Mus musculus: one gene and its partners. The protein of the gene in region 3 interacts with the protein of the main gene of each other region in a pairwise test. Links are inferred from orthologs where the notes say so. Each region holds a gene or a part of one and is shown on either strand. Other genes may lie near its edges.

Region 1 (4,036 bases), on a different chromosome or scaffold from region 3:
GTTTTAACACAGTATCTTGCTATATAAAGTAGGCTAGCCTTAGGTACTTAATTTTTCTGTCTCCACCTTCTAAATACTGGGATTATAGTCATATGCTACCTTTGTTGGTAGCATATGCTTTTTGCTTACCTTTGTAAAAAAAAAATATATTGTATATGTTTACATCACCTGGAACTTATGGGGAAATTCCTTTTGCATTATATAAATTAAGATAGAAATTTTCAGTTACACATTCCTGGTTTTGTGTGTGTGTGTGTGTGTGTGTGTGTGTGTGTTTTCTAATGGGAGCATGTACAACTTCTCAGGACCTTAATCTTGGTAACATTGTTGGTAGGAGGAATAGGTGCCATATGACTCCATGACTGCCTTAATGAATAGTTGTCTTCCTTGCTTTATCCAGAGAGTTCTGTTTCATAACACACAGATCAGTGAGTTCTGAAAATGTTAATCCCCTTTACTCCGTCAGTAAAAGAAGAAAGATGCCTAGACTGTTTAATGTAACCTGTTTTGGGTAAAAGGTTCATCACATCCCGAACGTTCTTTTTGTGTGTAGTACGTTGCCTTACAACCTTCTGGCTTTGTTCTCTGAACATTTAGCTGAAGAACCTAACACAGTTTGTTAGCTGAATGTTTTATTGGAAGTAGGATGTTGTGTTAAAGACAGTCAAACATCTGTGGTATGGAGTGACAGGAAAGACACAGCTGCTTGTTGTGTCTTCCGCTTGTTAAGGGGTGTCCAGGGAGGCTGAAAGCGGATGTTAGAGTCCCTGGAGCTGGAGTTACAGGTGATTGTGAGCCATCTGATGTGAATGTTGGAAACTGAACTCAGGTCCTCTAGAAGAGCAGCAAATGCTCTTGACCACTGAGTTGTCTCTTCAACTCCTATTTTTATTCTTTATTATTAAGGAATGGAGAGATGGCTCAGTAGTTAACACTTGCTGTCCTCCCAAAGGACCAGGGTTCAATGCTCAGTACCCACATAGTAGTTCACAGTCCTCTGTAGCTCTTTTGGCCTCCCCGGGCACCACACATGAACATGGTGCATTGCATTCATACACTACATTAAGAAAAAATGGAATCATATTCTTTATAATAATTGGTGTGTGAGTCCAGTAGGAGTTCACTATTTTTGGCCCCTCTCTCTGCCTTCCATTCTCCTTCTGTCCTGAGCAACCACAACACACAGCACCTGGAATCACTTAGTGATATATACAGTTGCAAACTGCTGTGTTCTTTTTCCTTCCTGCAGGTTCCAATGATTTTGGTTGGCAATAAATGTGACTTGGAAGATGAACGGGTAGTTGGCAAAGAACAAGGCCAGAATTTAGCAAGACAGTGGTGTAACTGTGCCTTTTTAGAATCTTCTGCAAAGTCAAAGATCAACGTTAATGAGGTAACCTGCAACCGTTGGACAGTGTAAACAAGTGCCTTTTTATTTTCATAGCCAGAAGTTTTCAGAAAAAATAAAAATCTCAATTTTACCACCTTGTAGAAAATAGTAATTTCTAGACACTGTGTTCTTTGGCTTCCATGACATCATTCTCTTAAGAGTTTCAGTGCAGACACCTAATGTTACCTTATTGTCACAGGCTGCATATAAAATCCTGCTAAAACTTTTAAGTGATATGCCAGTGCTAGCATTTGAAACTTGACCCAGCACTTTTTATTATAAGTTACTTATTCAGTTGAATATAAATAGGTGGTAAAGTCCAATAGAACAGTAAAAAAAAAATTAAAAGTTGCCATTATAATGAGCCTTCGTTATAAAATACCATCATAGAATTTGATTTTGATTCTTGCTCCTATTTTTTTCTTGCTCCTTTTGATGCATGCCTAAGTGTGGTCTGTGTGAGCAAACGTGTAAGTCAAACCACTCAGTCCTTCAGATTGGGAGTCGGGATGCGCGTGTGTCTAATTTGAGCACCTCACTATTTAAGATCTTAACTACGGTCCAGAAGGCTTTGCAAATAATCTTATGTGCCTCATTTTAAAAAGGCAATAGTTGACCGAGCCCCCAAAAATTAGTTCATTTCCCAAATTGCTAACACCAATCAGGCACATCCATGAGAGTTCTTTTGCTTTTGGAACTTTTTTTTTAATTGGGTATTTTATTTACATTTCAAAGGTTATCCCCTTTCCTGGGTTCCCTCCCTCCTCAAAACACTCTATCACACCCTCCCTCCCCCTGCTTCTATGAGGGTGTTCCTCCACCCACCCACCCACTCCCACCTCCCTGCCTACAATGGCTCTACACCGGGGCATAGAGCCTTCACAGGACCAATGACCTCTCCTTCCACTGATGCATGACAAGGCCATCCTCTACTACAGATGCAGCTGGAGCCATGTGTACTACTATGTTGTTTACCAAAATCATTTGCAATAAATGGTGCAGAAAGGCCGAGTAAGCCTCTTTTTTCCTTCTCTGGCTGATGCACTTGCCATTGTAGTGTCGCAGGTACCTGGACACAGGTGAGAATAAGAGAAGGCTTGCTCATCAAGGCTGGGGTTGCACTTCTCTGGCCTCTGGTTCTGTAAATCATTTTTCAGGACTGTGCTTGTAGAATATTATTTTAAACATCTGGTAAGGAAAAAAAGTCAGCTTACTATATATTCTGTTTCTTATCATAATCAAGAATGCTAAAGCTTGCTTTTTTTAGGTGAAACCACTTTTAACAAATACAAAAATCTTTTAATTCCACTTACCTGGCAAACACATTGAGTACCTGTAGTATGCCTGGCACTTCATTCTGTACCCAAGTGGCAGTCATCCAGACAGAACGATTTCAGCCATTAAGAGGTTTACATCCTAGTTGAGGAACCAGTCCTACTGAGCCCTGCCATACAGTTATTTGTTATTCACTGCTAGGTCAGTGAGAAGAAATTGAGAGCTGTCACTCATCCTCTTTTGTTATAGAATTAGAATTTCCTAGAGGTTGTTTTTAAAATATGGCTGTAATAAAATTTTAATGTTTAATATAGTATTTTTTGAAAACATGAATGAGCAAGAAAAGGACCCAGATATAGTGGCATGCACTTGTCATCCCAGCAGTCTGGAGGTCAAGGCAGGACTGGGAGTTCTAGGCCAGCCTGCACTATATATCACAAGACCCAACTAAAGTGAGCTGAGAATACTTTAATGAAGAATACATTACAGTTGGTGAATGCCCCTGGGTCGTAGAGTTGTAGTGCAGTGTCACCTTATGAAGGATGATTTGGCCTTTGGAATCTGGTTCCTTACTTTGTCTGTCACCCTCACTGCTATCCACCTTCCACGTTCATCAAATGTGCAGAGCTGAGTTGGACCAGAGTTCTATCACACAAGACCTCTCCCTGTAGGAGCCAGAGTTTAGTAGGGAGAAAGTAAGTATTCCTCGTCTTTTATCTTTACAAGATTGTGGGATCCCACACAGGCTATTAAACCCCCTGGGTTGCAGTTTCTAATGCAGCAGAATTGACTTATTCATGGTGTCTTGTTCAAGCTTTACATAGGGGTTTAAAAAACAATATAAAGTGCCATAGTCATCATAATAGTCTCCACTTCTTTGAGAAACCACACAGACTACATGCTAGAAATGAGAGTATAATTTGAGGTATTTGTTTTTTTAAGATCTCACTCTTCATAGCCTAATAATTCAGCTGCAAAATTCCTTGAATAGTTGGTGGTTTTTCAGACCACTCAAACTGCTGTTCTAATGCTTGTATGGTTTCTGAATGCATGAAGATAGGGGAATAATAATTTCACAAGATTCAGCTCTTGACTTTAAATTTGCAACAGATAGGGACACAGTGCTTGGCCAGAGCCCTCTAATTCTCTCTATTCTACAAGTATCAATCAGTGCACTGGAAATACCTCAATCTTAGCCCCAAATTTCTTGTTCTTTGCTGAGGCTAGAGTAATGATTGGAATAAAGACATCCCAATTAGGAATGGGAGAGGGGTTGAGAAACTCTATTCTGTGTTCCCTCTAGATTTTTCTATAGTTCAGAGAGATGAGGACGAACCTAGGCTGGGAACTTTCAGCATTTCTAACCAAATA
Region 2 (4,626 bases), on a different chromosome or scaffold from region 3:
CAGATACTATCTTGGCTCAGTTTAGAAGCCAGAAGAGGACAGAATTACCTCTCAGGTCCCGCATCCACTCATCATCATGCAATCCCGGGCTCTAACTCCATGCCAGGCACCAAGCCAGGTACAGTAACCGGTGTAACATGTAATTATTTAGGATTTGCAAGGCATCCCTCTTTCCCTGAACCAAGATTAATAAAACCTCCGTCTTAAATATTAAGACAGAGCCTTCATCTTAGCTGTCACAAGAATAGTCAAGAAATTAACTGCAACTTCTAAGATCAGAGAGCTTTCTTCATCTGTCTTACCATTTCAGTGCTATCAGAAGTTGTTAAAAATAGCATGCACACACACTCAAGCACACGCACACACACTTCCTTTAGACTCTCCCCCAAATAAAATAAGTTAAGTGATAGCACCCAAATAAAGGACAATGGCTAACACCTCCACGTAGAGCTTTCCTTTCTGACATAACAACAAAAATCCCAGCACTGGAGAAGAAAGGATGGAGGGAGGGCACACATTACTCCTGACAGGGGCATGAAGAGGGCACTCACTCTAGTCCACTCTGCAAAACCTGCAGTCCAACTAGGAATGAAAGAAACATCCCCAGCCCCTCCTGGAAGGGAAATATAGGAACTTAGGAATCGATTAATAAGATGCCAGGCCCAATCAAAGAAATCGATCCTTTACTTTTTCAGAAACAGGATTTTAAACAGACACCATGCCAAGATTTCGCATGAGCAAACAAGCCACCTGGTAGACAAGGAGAATGGAGCGATGTATCTCACGGTTTTCTCTGCGAGTGGGTCAGCGGGAAAGCACAGTAAAGCAACCTCTCGAACTCCAGAGTTTGTTTTGTTTCCCCTCTGGTCCATTTAGTGGGGAAGGACTTTCTTCAGTGTTTTCACAGGGATACCTAACACACTCATAAAACCTGACCTGTCTCCTTTAAGACTTTGTTTTCTCCCCCACCCCACCTCCAGTATAGCCCCTGACTTTTACGGGACAGTTAGCTTCAAGGCACTTGGGAATTATTGAAAGCACACTGAAGTGGCCAAACAATGATTTTATACGAAAGCCAAAAAAAGGTGTTAGGGAAACAGGTAAAACAGATGGGCCAAGTCAAAGTGAAACCCAGGGCCCAGTGACAATGACCTAAACTCCCAGGGTAACCTTATACCTACAAATATTCATCCATCTACTCTGAACCCATGTCTACATGGCAGGTGACCTGAGCAATCTGCAATGCTGTTTTCCCTCAGGTCTTTTAGTGGGCCTGCTACCTCAAAGACAGCTATGTGCTGAAGTACTACAACAGTCTCAGCAGATCATGAGAATCCACCCCACCCCACCCCCCACCCCCCGCCCCGAATACCTCTCCGAATCACTAAGTATCCAAAATTAGCAGTACAGGTAAGATGCCCTATACTTTCTTCTTATTTGGTAATTTTTTTTTCTCAGCAAACTGGCGTTTTGTGGGGCAGATTACAAGACATAGCCATAGCATGATATGGGTAAACTACAAATCAACCAACCATTTAACTTTCAAAATAGCCTCCTGGACATATTTGAGAATCATCAACCTACAAGGACGCTTAAAGAATGTTCACAGATAGCCCACCTAACCTGGCGCAGCGATAACACCCCTTTATGACAAAGATAGAAGTCACTGCCATGAATACATAGACAGCAAAACCAAAATTCAACTGAGACTCTGACTTCGGCTCTGTTCTCAAGGTCGCGCACTAACTGGTCTCCATCCTTGCCAGTTTCTACACACCTGAATAAACCCTCATACACTGGTAACGTTACAACGCAGCCCTCTCTTTCTTGGTCTGGAAAGTATTCGGTCTTTCTCCGTACAGCCTTAAGTGTAATTCCTAGAAGGCACTGACAAATCTCTGCTAGGCCAATCTGCAGTGGAAAAACCATGTGTCCTACAGGATGACAGAAGGGCCAACACTTCTAACCCTCTACTTCAGCACTGCATGGCAACAGCCGTTCGTTCTGACACCATCCACGCAGAAAATGGGCAGGATCGAACACGGTTCATGTCAAAAAGGATCTGCTTGACCACAAACAGGCAGCTCTGTGGAAATACAATTTCTGGAACGAAAACACGAGGCTTGCACAATTCTAGAAACACGTCTAAGTGTTCCGTTCCAGCGCTGTGCTAAAAAAACTTTTCCTACCTAAACTTCCCAGCACGGGGCTGATCTCAAACCGATTGCCAAACCATGCACACCATGCACAAAAGCGGCGTGCACCACAACCACAGCCGCGGGGCAATGCCTGTCCCTGCCCAATCCTGCTCAGGCCGGGTTGCAATGTGGTTTAGTCCAGTCTACTTTCTGGTAATGTGTTTTTAAAATCCCGCCACGACCCAGGTCATTCCTTTAGAGATCTAATAACGACCAAATGACCGGACCTGCCAGGCACTTAGCGAGCCATTCTGCTTATGGCTCTTTAATAGCTCTTGGAGTTCTGCTAAGAGGAGAGCGGAAAACTCCAGCTTCCCCGGAAAGAAAGTCCTGCGCCGGGAGCGCGGAGAGGCGCGCGGAGCGTGGCCCCATCTCCCGCAGTCCCGCCGGTCCCCTCCGCGCCTTTACCTGTCAGCCCGTCCTCTCCCCCCGCCGCCGCCCCTCAGAGCCAGCCCCGGGAGAAAGCAACCCAAGGCATCCCATCCCAAAGAAAGAAAGCCGAGAGGCTGCTGCTCCAGGCAGGGGGCCATGGGCCACCGCGAGATCCGAGAGGCGACATGCCGCCGGCGCCCCGCACCTACCAGATAATCCATGTACAGAAACGCCTCAGTTATCCGGAGATCAGACATCCGGCAGCCTAAAGCATCCGGAATGGCTCCGAACCCGGAAAAAAAAAAAAAGCAGCAGCGTCTCGGGCTGCCAGCGAGCAGCTCCTGAAAAAGCCAGCAACAGCGAAGATCGCCGAGAGCAGCCGAGGAGCCGAAGATTACACCAGGGAAGCGACGATTGGCTGGGAGGGCGGGCCGAGGAAAAGGAGCGCGCTCATTGGCCGGAGTGTCTATAAAAGGCAGTCCCCCCGGTGGAGGGCAGCAGAGAAGCGCGGGACCCGGGACGGTGCTGGTTCCTGTTTGCTGGGGGAGGGGCGGGCGGAAACGCGCTGCGGCCCCGGGAGGCCGACTCTCAGCCTCTAGTCCGCTCGAGACCCGGCAAGCAGCCTGCCTGAGATTGAAGAGCAGCGGCGGCGGCGTCCCCGCCCACCCCTCCTTAAGAAAGCAGCCCAGGGCGGTGGGAGGCAGTTGCCCCGAGCGCCTTCCTGTGGCCTTGAAACGCCCTGGACCTGCGGATTAGAAGGGCAGACACCTTAAAGAAGGCAAACTGTGCAGTACTGGGGACTGCATTGACCCTCCAGGGTGTGGGTGTCTGCTACGGCGGACAACTTGAACTTGACCTTCCTGCGGCTCAGCACCAGTGCAGTCCAGACTAGGAACCTAGAGACTCACAAGTAAATTGATCACCCCAAACATTGAAGGAGACAGGCATCTGATCTTTGCATGCTTAATCCAATGTACCTGAATAGAATGAGCGGTGGGATTGTGAAAGTCCTCTAAAGGACCCAAGTAATACTGTTTGTGAACCTTATCTTAGGAAAAACAGAGCCGGTGCACTTGAGACTTGTGCGTTTCCTAAATTAAAAAAAAAAAAAAGAAAAAAAGAAAAAAAAAAGCAAGCCGGGCGGTGGTGGCGCACGCCTTTAATCCCAGCACTTGGGAGGCAGAGGCAGGTGGATTTCTGAGTTCGAGGCCAGCCTGGTCTACAGAACGAATTCCAGGACAGCCAGGGCTACACAGAGAAATCCAGAGAAACCCTGTCTCAAAAAAACAAACAAACAAACTTGGGGCCCGGGCAGTGGTGGTGCACGCCTTTGATCCCAGCACTTGGGAGGCAGAGAGGCAGGCGGATTTCTGAGTTCGAGGCCAGCCTGGTCTACAGAGTGAGTTCCAGGACAGCCAGAGAAATACAGAGAAACCCTGTCTCGAAAAACCAAAAAATAAAAAATAGAAAAATTTTAAAATTTTTTTAAAAAAGAATTACTTGGAATTGAGTGAAAATGGGAGTCAAGCGAGATAAAGACAACGGTCAGTTCTGGATTTTTTTTCTTTCACCTCCAAGATTCAGGCTAGAAAGGACAGTCAAGGCAAAGGTGAGACAAGATAAGCATGCCATTTGGAGTTGGGTATGGAGAGGAGTAAAATATAGAATGGCAAGAAAATAAAAATCAAAATTGAATCTACTGGCTTAGTGCAACTGAGACTTACTAACCCTGGAGTAAAACAAAACAAAACAGAACAACTCCTTTTAAGAAGTTATTACTTAAACACATATATCTTGAAAATTATATCAATAAAGGCCAGCTCTGTCTGTACACGTGTATTCAAAAATGAATATTAAAAGGGTGCCATATCTTTTGTACCAGTAATTCCATTTCTAGAAATTCTTAGGATAAGAGCTGTGGACAGTGTTCTAAGTGAACATTTCCTGCAATGATTATAGTAGAATTTTGTCGGCCTGGTGGTACCTTTAATCCCAGCAAAGATACAGGCAGATCCCTGAGTTGGAGACCACCTGCAAGGCTACACAGAGAAGAAAC
Region 3 (4,036 bases):
AGCCATGAATGCTCCCATCTATAAAACGGAATACTGTTGCCATATCAAATCCCTTTGAGGGTTTAAAAAATATTTTATTTAAAAAAATAATTATTTTAAGGCTGGGTGTTGTGGAAGATGCCAAGACTTGGAAGATAAAGGCAGAGACAGGCAAATCTCTGAGTTTGAGGCCAGCCTGGTCTACAGAGTGAGTTCCAGGATAGTCAGGACTACATAGAGATCTTGTCTCAAAAAAAATTAAGAATAAAAAGTATTGTTATGTGTATGGATGTTTTGCCTGTGTGCAACACACATGTGCCTGGTGCCCGTGGAGGCCAGAGGAGGGTTTCATGTTCCATGGAACTGGAGCCACAGAGAGCTGAGAATTGCCTGTGAATGCTGGGACTCAAACTTGGATCCTCTGGAAGAGCATCCAGTACTCTTAGCTGGAGAGCCACCTCTCTAGCCCCTTTTATAGCTCTTTTATCCACTTGCTGTGGCTTTCAGGGAGTATCTCCTGCCAGATGAACTAGTGTGGCACAATTATATGTAGGTCTTAACTTTTTAGGCAACACTAATACTGAGACTTTCTTTTGGCAGTGAAGATCATAGAATTCACCTATGTTAAGCAAGCTCTCTACCACTGAAATACAACCCCGGGCCTACTGAAATATTTGAAAGACTCTATCTTGTCCCAAGAGAAAAAGGTTAGGTGGCAGTTACTGACAATGTTTTTATTTTTATTTTTAAATTTTTTTGTTTTTGTTTTTTTGAGACAGGGTTTTTTGTATAGCCCTGGCTGTCCTGGAACTCACTTTGTAGACCAGGCTGTTTTTGAACTCAGAAATCCACCTGTCTCTGCCTCCCGAGTGCTGGGATTGAAGGTGTGGGCCACCACTGCCCGGCCTGTTTGTTCTTTCTACTTTTCTGCCTGTGAGTAGGACCTGGAGTCCCGCCTGCCTGAATGCCTGTTCTAAGATACATTTTGAAGTCTACTGGGCCCTCACTCACGTTAGGACGCTGGCGGGCATCATCTGGGACTCAGGCGCTGCTTCTATCAAGGACTGCCAGGTGTTTGTGGAGTTAGGGATCACAAAGCCAAACTCGAAGAACCACTCTGAAGGAAGAAGGAAAAGCCAGTGAGCAGGTGCTACTTATGGGCATGGGGAACTATAGGCTGTGTCCCTCTCCTTTAGAGTGGGTTTTCCCTATCCAGAACCACAAAAGAAACCTATCAGATACCTCCTAAATCAGAGAGTTACACGAAAGGACACAGGGACACTCACAGACTCTCTTCTGATTTGTGCCACAGGCTGGCTTTTTTTCTCTTTTATTTCTTTTTTCTTTTTTGGTTTTTCAAGACAGGGTATCTCTGTGTAGCTCTGGCTATCCTGGAACTCACTTGTAGACCAGGCTGGCCTCAAACTCACAAGAGGTCCACCTGCTTCTACTTCCTGAGTGCTCGTATTAAAGGCGTACACGACTACACTCAGGGACACTGGGCTGTTCCTTATGGGTTTAATAGACAAGGATCGGGAAGGAGACATTAGAAGCAGCATTTTCTTAGGAGCAGCAAGCTCTGCAGTAAATCAGAGGTAGGCAGCACTCCAGTGTCTACGTGTTCTCTGATATTTTGAGTACTCAGTTCAGAGTCCTTCCCAGTCACAGCTTATGATGTATAGACACAACCCTATACTACACTTCATCATAAACTGCTTCTTCCAAGATCACATTGTAACAACACCACATCAGGCACAGGCACAGGCACAGGTACGGGCACCCAGGCTTCTCATATCAGAGAACTCAAAGCCCACTTTACTTGGTGTCCAGTCTTGTTTTGGTTCGTATTCACTGGGGTTTCCCAGTGCTGTAGAATGTAGAGTCCATTAGTGATAAGGTCAGTGCTTTCAGAGCACTGCCTGCCTGCTGCCCCCCCCCAGCTCCAGACACACATGGGGCAGAATACCTTCTAGGCATTGTCCTTTGAAGTAAACTTTTTGTTCCAGGCGGAATTTTTCCATTTGTTCTGCTGAAGAAAAGTTCAATTCTCGAGACACTGCCTTGCACTTGAGGATTTTCTTGGGCACACGGGCTGATGAGAGAGAGAGAGAGAGAGAGAGAGAGAGAGAGAGATTGGTACTATTCTAAATGAGAACCACAGATACAACACTTCAGGATCCTGGGAGTTCCTTTGGCTGCCTTAGAGAATTTGTTTGGATAATTAGCTTTCATTAAACGCCTTGGTAACTGCATTATGTTCCAGCTAAAGGCAGAGGGATCTAATTGGTCAGCACAGGAGACTCGTCGTCAAGGAACACCAGATTAGGTGTCTCCACAGGCCTCACCATGCTTTTGGCTGTGATGAACATCCTCTCTCTGTGCAGCTGTCAGAGCCTGCTTTATGCTCTGATTTCTTGAAATGATTTACCTTTCCTTTTTTCCTCCAGAAAGATAAAAATGAAAATTTTCTTCTGGAAAAAGTTGAAATATTATAACTTCCCTTTTCTTTCCTTTTTGAGACAAGGTTTCATGTGGTCCAGATTGGCTTTAAATTAACTATATAGCTGAGGCTGGCCTTGAACTCCTGATCTTTCTGTCTCAATCTGCAAAGTGCTGGGATTACAGGAACATGCCATCACATCCAGATCTGGGGATGGTCCAGAGCTAAGGTGGATTTGGGAAGTGAGAGAAGGAAATGTAAAAATGGAACAAGAAGTGTTCTCTCGGTTCACCTGCAGGGCTCACCTGTCTAGTAGCTGCGTGCTTACTTAGCTCCTTGATGCCAGGGTCTGTTCTGGCAGTGGGCATAGTTTGTACACTCAAGGGGCTGCAAAGTACCTTCATGTTCCACACCAGGGACAGACAGGTCTTCTGTTCCTTGCCAGAGTATCTTCCCTGTTTCGGCATCCCGAAGGTTCATCCAATTTCTGATCAAGTATGATTAAGGAGACTGAGGCTCTGAGAACAATCCCTGTCCTGGAACTCACTTTGTAGACCAGGCTGGCCTGGAACTCAGAAATCGGCCTGCCTCTGCCTCCTGAGTGCTGGGATTAAAGGCATGCGCCACCAAGCCCAGCTGACTCCAGAGGTTTTTAATCTACACCATGTTACATAACATCTGAGACATGAACTGGGATATAGCTCAGTGGTGGGGAGCTTGCTTAGTAGTTTCAAGGCCCTTCTTCAAATCTCAGCATTGAGAGAAAGGAAAGAACTCAAAGATAGCAACTAGAACTGGTAGCAAGGGCTAGAAGAAAGAATAGTGAAAAAAATCTAAATATGTCAGAGGAGTCTCATCAGCCAAAAAATGGTAAAAATATAACAGGTCAGATCTCAGGGTACCACCAAAGGACTAAGCCATACAGTTACAGTTCATGAGCCTCCCTCACTACTGCACAGCTCTCCCAGACCTTTTAAGTGTTAGGAGACAGCTTGACCTCTAGATCTCACGGTGGAAGTGCAGAACAGATGCCCAGTAGATGTCCTCTGACCTCTCTGACCTCCACAAAAGTACTGTGGCATATGTACACATGGAGAGAGACACACAGGCATACACACGCAACCCAGTCAGCCAAGAATCATCAGAAATCAAGACATTTACTATGAAAACAAAGAAAAAATAAGAGAAAAAATACAGATCAAGATGCAAAATTTTAAAAAAGAATATTAAAAAATAATAAAAAGATATCACTGGAGAGATGGCTCAGTGGTTAAAGTCTGTTGTACCTTTTGTCAGGGGTCCAGAGTTCAGCTTACAGAACCCATATGGGGCGGCTCACAACTGCCAATATCTTCAGCTCCAGGTGATCTAATGCTCTCTTCTGCCCCCCCCCCCCCCGACACACACAGACACACACAGACATGCAACATAAGTAGCACACACAGAAGCAATCTTTAAAAATGAGAAAGACATGCTATAACACAACTGCCAGGTGTTCTATATCACAGAATTTCTATATTTTAGTTGATTATTTTTTTTTGTGGTTCATGGCTGCTACAATTTATGGGATAATCAACTGAATATCTGTTTTAGTCAAAAATGGCTTCTAACTTATAT
Region 4 (4,036 bases), on a different chromosome or scaffold from region 3:
GACACCAAGCCCAAGGGCAGGGAGAGAACTAAGAGGAGAAACAGAGATATTTCCAGGCCAGTTAGCGTTTGTATGATTGCTGATGGCAATCACCTAGGAGAACAGGCTTTTAGCATCCATAGTCTTAGACCCAACACAGGATGCAGACACAAGTATCCAGCAACTTAGAGTCACTTCCTCGGGGCTCCCCAGGTTAGGACAGTAAGCTGAAGGCACAGGGCTGCCCCTCCTGCAGAGCACTTCATGGTATGAGGCCATTTGCTTCACATCTTTTTCTATAAAGACCAGGGGTTCTCAGCCTTCCTAATGCTGCGGCCCTTTAATATAGTTCTTCATGTTGTGGTGACCCCCAACCATAAAAATATTTCATTGCTACTTCATAACGGTAATTTTGCTACTGTTATGAATCGTAATGAAAACATCCATTTTTTCCAATGATCTTAAAACCCCACAGGGATCTGCCAGTGAGGCAGATGCTTCAGGGAGCTGCCATGTGGACAGGAAGCGAAGCCTTGCCACCATCTCACCTGGACGCCCTCGCCTGTGAGCGCTGAACAGGACTGGATCTGCCAGACGCGGTCCCGGATGGTGTGGAGGTTTAGCCCTTCTGCGATCTCGGAGGCTGGGGCTGCCGTGAGCAGGTCCTGCTTGTTAGCAAAGATGAGCACGGGCACACAACTCAGCTTTTCTTCCTCCAGTAATTCCGTTAGTTCCTGGACCATTTTTTTTGGGGGGGGAGGGGGGAGGGAGAAGAGAGAGAGAAGCTTGACAACCATGACACGTGAGCGCACGCCACACTTGGAATCATAGCACACTAAGCTGTTAGGTTGATCAGCAGCAACTTTAAGGTAGAGATCTCAGGCTTGTACCTTTGGAAGATTCCCTAGCAAATTTCTGGGCTCAAACTAGGAATTCTGACTATAGAAAGTTAGAGCCAGCACTCTGGAAAGCCTCAACCCACTTCCCAGGACAAAGAAGCAGAAACCCGGGATCTTCAGCCATTGGATACAGGGCAAACTTTCTGCACCGAGATCCAAACATGGCTCTCTAAAGATTCCCTCTATCCTCGCTGCTCCTGGGGGTGGCCTCATCTGGGTCCAATGGTCGAGGCCCCAGGCTGCTCTGTGTATGACTGTATACACAGACCGTATCATCTAAACATATTGACATGCACCCTGCAGTTAAAGCCGTATTTGAGTTCAAGGCTGATCTTGTTTCCCGGCGTGAGAAAAAGAAGCTGAGTTTTGGCTTGTGTTTTTCTTCTCACCCTTCTGAATTTGCCAGTGTTTGATCAAGTACTCCTGGTCAATTAAGGATGGAAAAGTATAACCAGAAGTGCTCAGTGTAGTGTCCCTGAGTTCATTCCTACGTGGTCTGGGAAGACACACAGAAGGGCTTTGGGGTGTGGTGCAAAGTTCCACTTGCTTAGATTTTTTTATATTCAATTTGATCAAGCTAAAAGGACTTCACCAAACGACATTGTGAAAGACTCCCAACTAATTTCTTTTTGGACAGTTGTATTTTCGCCTGCTCACCAGAGTGAGCCTCTTCCGGGTCTGTAATAGTTAACAAAAGGCACTCCTGTCCCTCACATACACTTCCAGGTGGATTGATGAGCGCTGGGGTTTAGGGAAGGGTCAACACATAAAGCATTTACCTGACCCGTCTCTTCAAATCTCTTTCTGTCGGCACTGTCAATTACATAGATCTGCAATAGAAAACCAGAATGTTACTTTAATACACAGAGACAGAAAGAGAAGGGGCAACTTTAAAAAAAAACTGGTCCTCAGTCAAGAGAGTTCAGATTAACCCAACAAATGCAAACAGCCTGGCCTCAGCTCACTTCACCTGTGGAGCAAGAAAACCGAATGCATGAACTAAGGATGCTGGGAAAACACACCAGGGGGGAGCCCAGAAACCCAGGGATTAACCCTGGAGGGAGCCCCCGGGGATGTGTTGGGTGTTTGGGGGCACCTGCAATCCTACACTTCTGGGGTGTCTCTTCTCTGACAACACTGCTTCAGCATTACTTCTAGGCTGACTTTGGGACCATGACAAGGGACAGTTATTTGTTCATTGCTATCATCACCACATGCTGCTGTGATGTCAAGGGAAGTCTAGAAATAGAAGGACAAGCTATACTAGAAGTTAATGTCGTTGTTTTGTTTGTTTGTTTTGCGTCAGGGTATCATGTAGTCCAGGCTGGCCCTGAACTGGCTTTGTAGTCAAGGATGCCCCTGGAATTTTGAACTTCCCTCTGCTTGCTGGGTCTCGGTGTGTTTTAAGGGGTGCTGGGGATTGAACTCAGAGCTTTACGTGACTGCTACGTGAGTACTCACCTCAGCTTTCCCAGCAGAAAGAAAATTCGAGACTCATTGTAAGTTATAAATTTGAAGCTTCCCCCTCTACCCATGAGTTTTAGTTACATAACAGTAAGGAAAATAACGTTTTAAAAAGAGAATAAAAAACCATCCATAGTCACAGCTTCTAAAAACACTGGCAATTTAAACCTCCTACAGAAAGCAGTGGGCATGGGGCAGAGGCAGGAGGATCTTTGTGAGTTTAAAGCCAGCCTGGTCTACACAGTAAGTTCCAGGACAGCCAGGACTGTTACACAGAGAGGCCATGTCTTGAAAAATCAGAACTCTGGAAGCAGAGACAGATGGATCTTTGTGAGTTCAAGGCTAGCCTAGTCTACATAGTAAGTTCCAAGTCAGCTGGGACTGTTAAACAGAGAGACTGTGCCTTGAAAAACCAATATCTAGATAGATAGATAGATAGATAGATAGATAGATAGATAGATAGATAGATGATAGATAGATAGATAGATGGATAGATAGATAGATGGATTGATTAATATCCTACAGTAAGTTCCAGGACAGCCAGGACTTTTGTATAGAGAGAAATCCCGTCTTGCAAAACCAAACAGATAGAAAGACAGATAGACAGACAGATAGATATCCTACAGAAGGCCCTGTCCCACCAGACTGATCTAAGTTCCAGCATAGGCAGGCCAGTTACACAGAGAGACCCTGTTTTGAAAAACCATCCAAACAACCAGTCAAACAAATATTCTACAAAAGGCTCCACCCCATCAGGTGTGGTAGCTCAAGTTTGTAATTCCAGCATGTTAGGGGCTGAGGCAGGAGGATTGCTGAGAATGAGGCCAGGCTAAGCTAATTTTAACTCACTCCTAGTGAGACCTGTCTTGAAGAAAAGAGAAGTTCTTTCCTAATTCTTCATATACACATTTAAAAAGAAAATTGGAAAAAAACTTTGTACTTTTTAAGCATTTTATTTCTTTTATATGCATGGGTGTTTTGTCTGCACAGGCCATGTCGTATAGCATGTCCCACAGAGGCCAGAAGAGGGTGGTGGATCTCCTAGGACTGGAGTTAGAGAGGTTGTGAGTCACCAGGTGAGTGCTGGTACATGAACCGAGGGCCTCTACAAGAGCAGTCAGGACTTTCAGCCACAGAAACACCTCTCTAGCACCCTTTTTTTTTTTTTTCCAAGACAGAGTTTCTGTCTAACCCTGGCTGTCCTGGAACTCTCTTTGTAGACTAGGCTGGCCTTGAATCAAAAGATTTGACCACCTCTTCAAAGTGCTGGGATTAAAGGTGTGTCCCCTGGGCTGGTGAGATGGCTCAGTGGGTAAGAGCACCCGACTGCTCTTCCAAAGGTCCAGAGTTCAAATCCCAGCAACCACATGGTGGCTCACAACCATCCCTAACGAGATCTGACTCCCTCTTCTGGAGTGTCTGAAGACAGCTACAGTGTACTTACATATAATAAATAAATAAATCTTTAAAAAAAAAAAAAAAAAAAAAAAGGTGTGCCCCTCACCACCTGGCATGTTTTTTAAAAACTTTATGAAAATAACATTGTTACTTAGTGAACTTGGTGATAGACACCTGGGTTCTCACTGTTTGGGAGGCTGAGGCAGAAGGATCATGAATTTGAAGTCAGCCTGCACTATAGGCACAGTAAAGATTGTTTGAGGTTCGGAAGAGTTAATGATAATTTTTTCGCACAA

What was found.
Region 1: the proteins of Pde6d (region 3) and Rap1a interact in a two-hybrid assay, tested with the Homo sapiens proteins (2 studies listed by BioGRID). The link is inferred for Mus musculus from reciprocal best matches to the Homo sapiens genes PDE6D and RAP1A.
Region 2: the proteins of Pde6d (region 3) and Arl15 interact in binary tests that used the Homo sapiens proteins (3 or more experiments, as listed by UniProt). The link is inferred for Mus musculus from reciprocal best matches to the Homo sapiens genes PDE6D and ARL15.
Region 4: the proteins of Pde6d (region 3) and Arl3 interact in binary tests that used the Homo sapiens proteins (3 or more experiments, as listed by UniProt). The link is inferred for Mus musculus from reciprocal best matches to the Homo sapiens genes PDE6D and ARL3.

The regions. Positions count from the first base shown.
Region 1 is NC_000069.6:105,735,112-105,739,147, reverse strand, and holds part of Rap1a (ras-related protein Rap-1A), read left to right. Parts: intron 1-1,249; coding exon 1,250-1,393; intron 1,394-3,968; exon of another isoform or gene 3,969-4,036. UniProt on the Homo sapiens protein: Counteracts the mitogenic function of Ras, at least partly because it can interact with Ras GAPs and RAF in a competitive manner. Together with ITGB1BP1, regulates KRIT1 localization to microtubules and membranes.
Region 2 is NC_000079.6:113,792,850-113,797,475, reverse strand, and holds the start of Arl15 (ADP-ribosylation factor-like protein 15), read right to left. Parts: upstream 2,969-4,626; 5' UTR 2,828-2,968; coding exon 2,780-2,827; intron 1-2,779.
Region 3 is NC_000067.6:86,544,712-86,548,747, forward strand, and holds part of Pde6d (retinal rod rhodopsin-sensitive cGMP 3',5'-cyclic phosphodiesterase subunit delta), read right to left. Parts: intron 2,907-4,036; coding exon 2,818-2,906; exon of another isoform or gene 2,725-2,817; intron 2,072-2,724; coding exon 1,946-2,071; intron 1,097-1,945; coding exon 991-1,096; intron 1-990. UniProt on the Homo sapiens protein: Promotes the release of prenylated target proteins from cellular membranes. Modulates the activity of prenylated or palmitoylated Ras family members by regulating their subcellular location.
Region 4 is NC_000085.6:46,541,825-46,545,860, forward strand, and holds part of Arl3 (ADP-ribosylation factor-like protein 3), read right to left. Parts: intron 1,709-4,036; coding exon 1,658-1,708; intron 714-1,657; coding exon 528-713; intron 1-527. UniProt on the Homo sapiens protein: Small GTP-binding protein which cycles between an inactive GDP-bound and an active GTP-bound form, and the rate of cycling is regulated by guanine nucleotide exchange factors (GEF) and GTPase-activating proteins (GAP).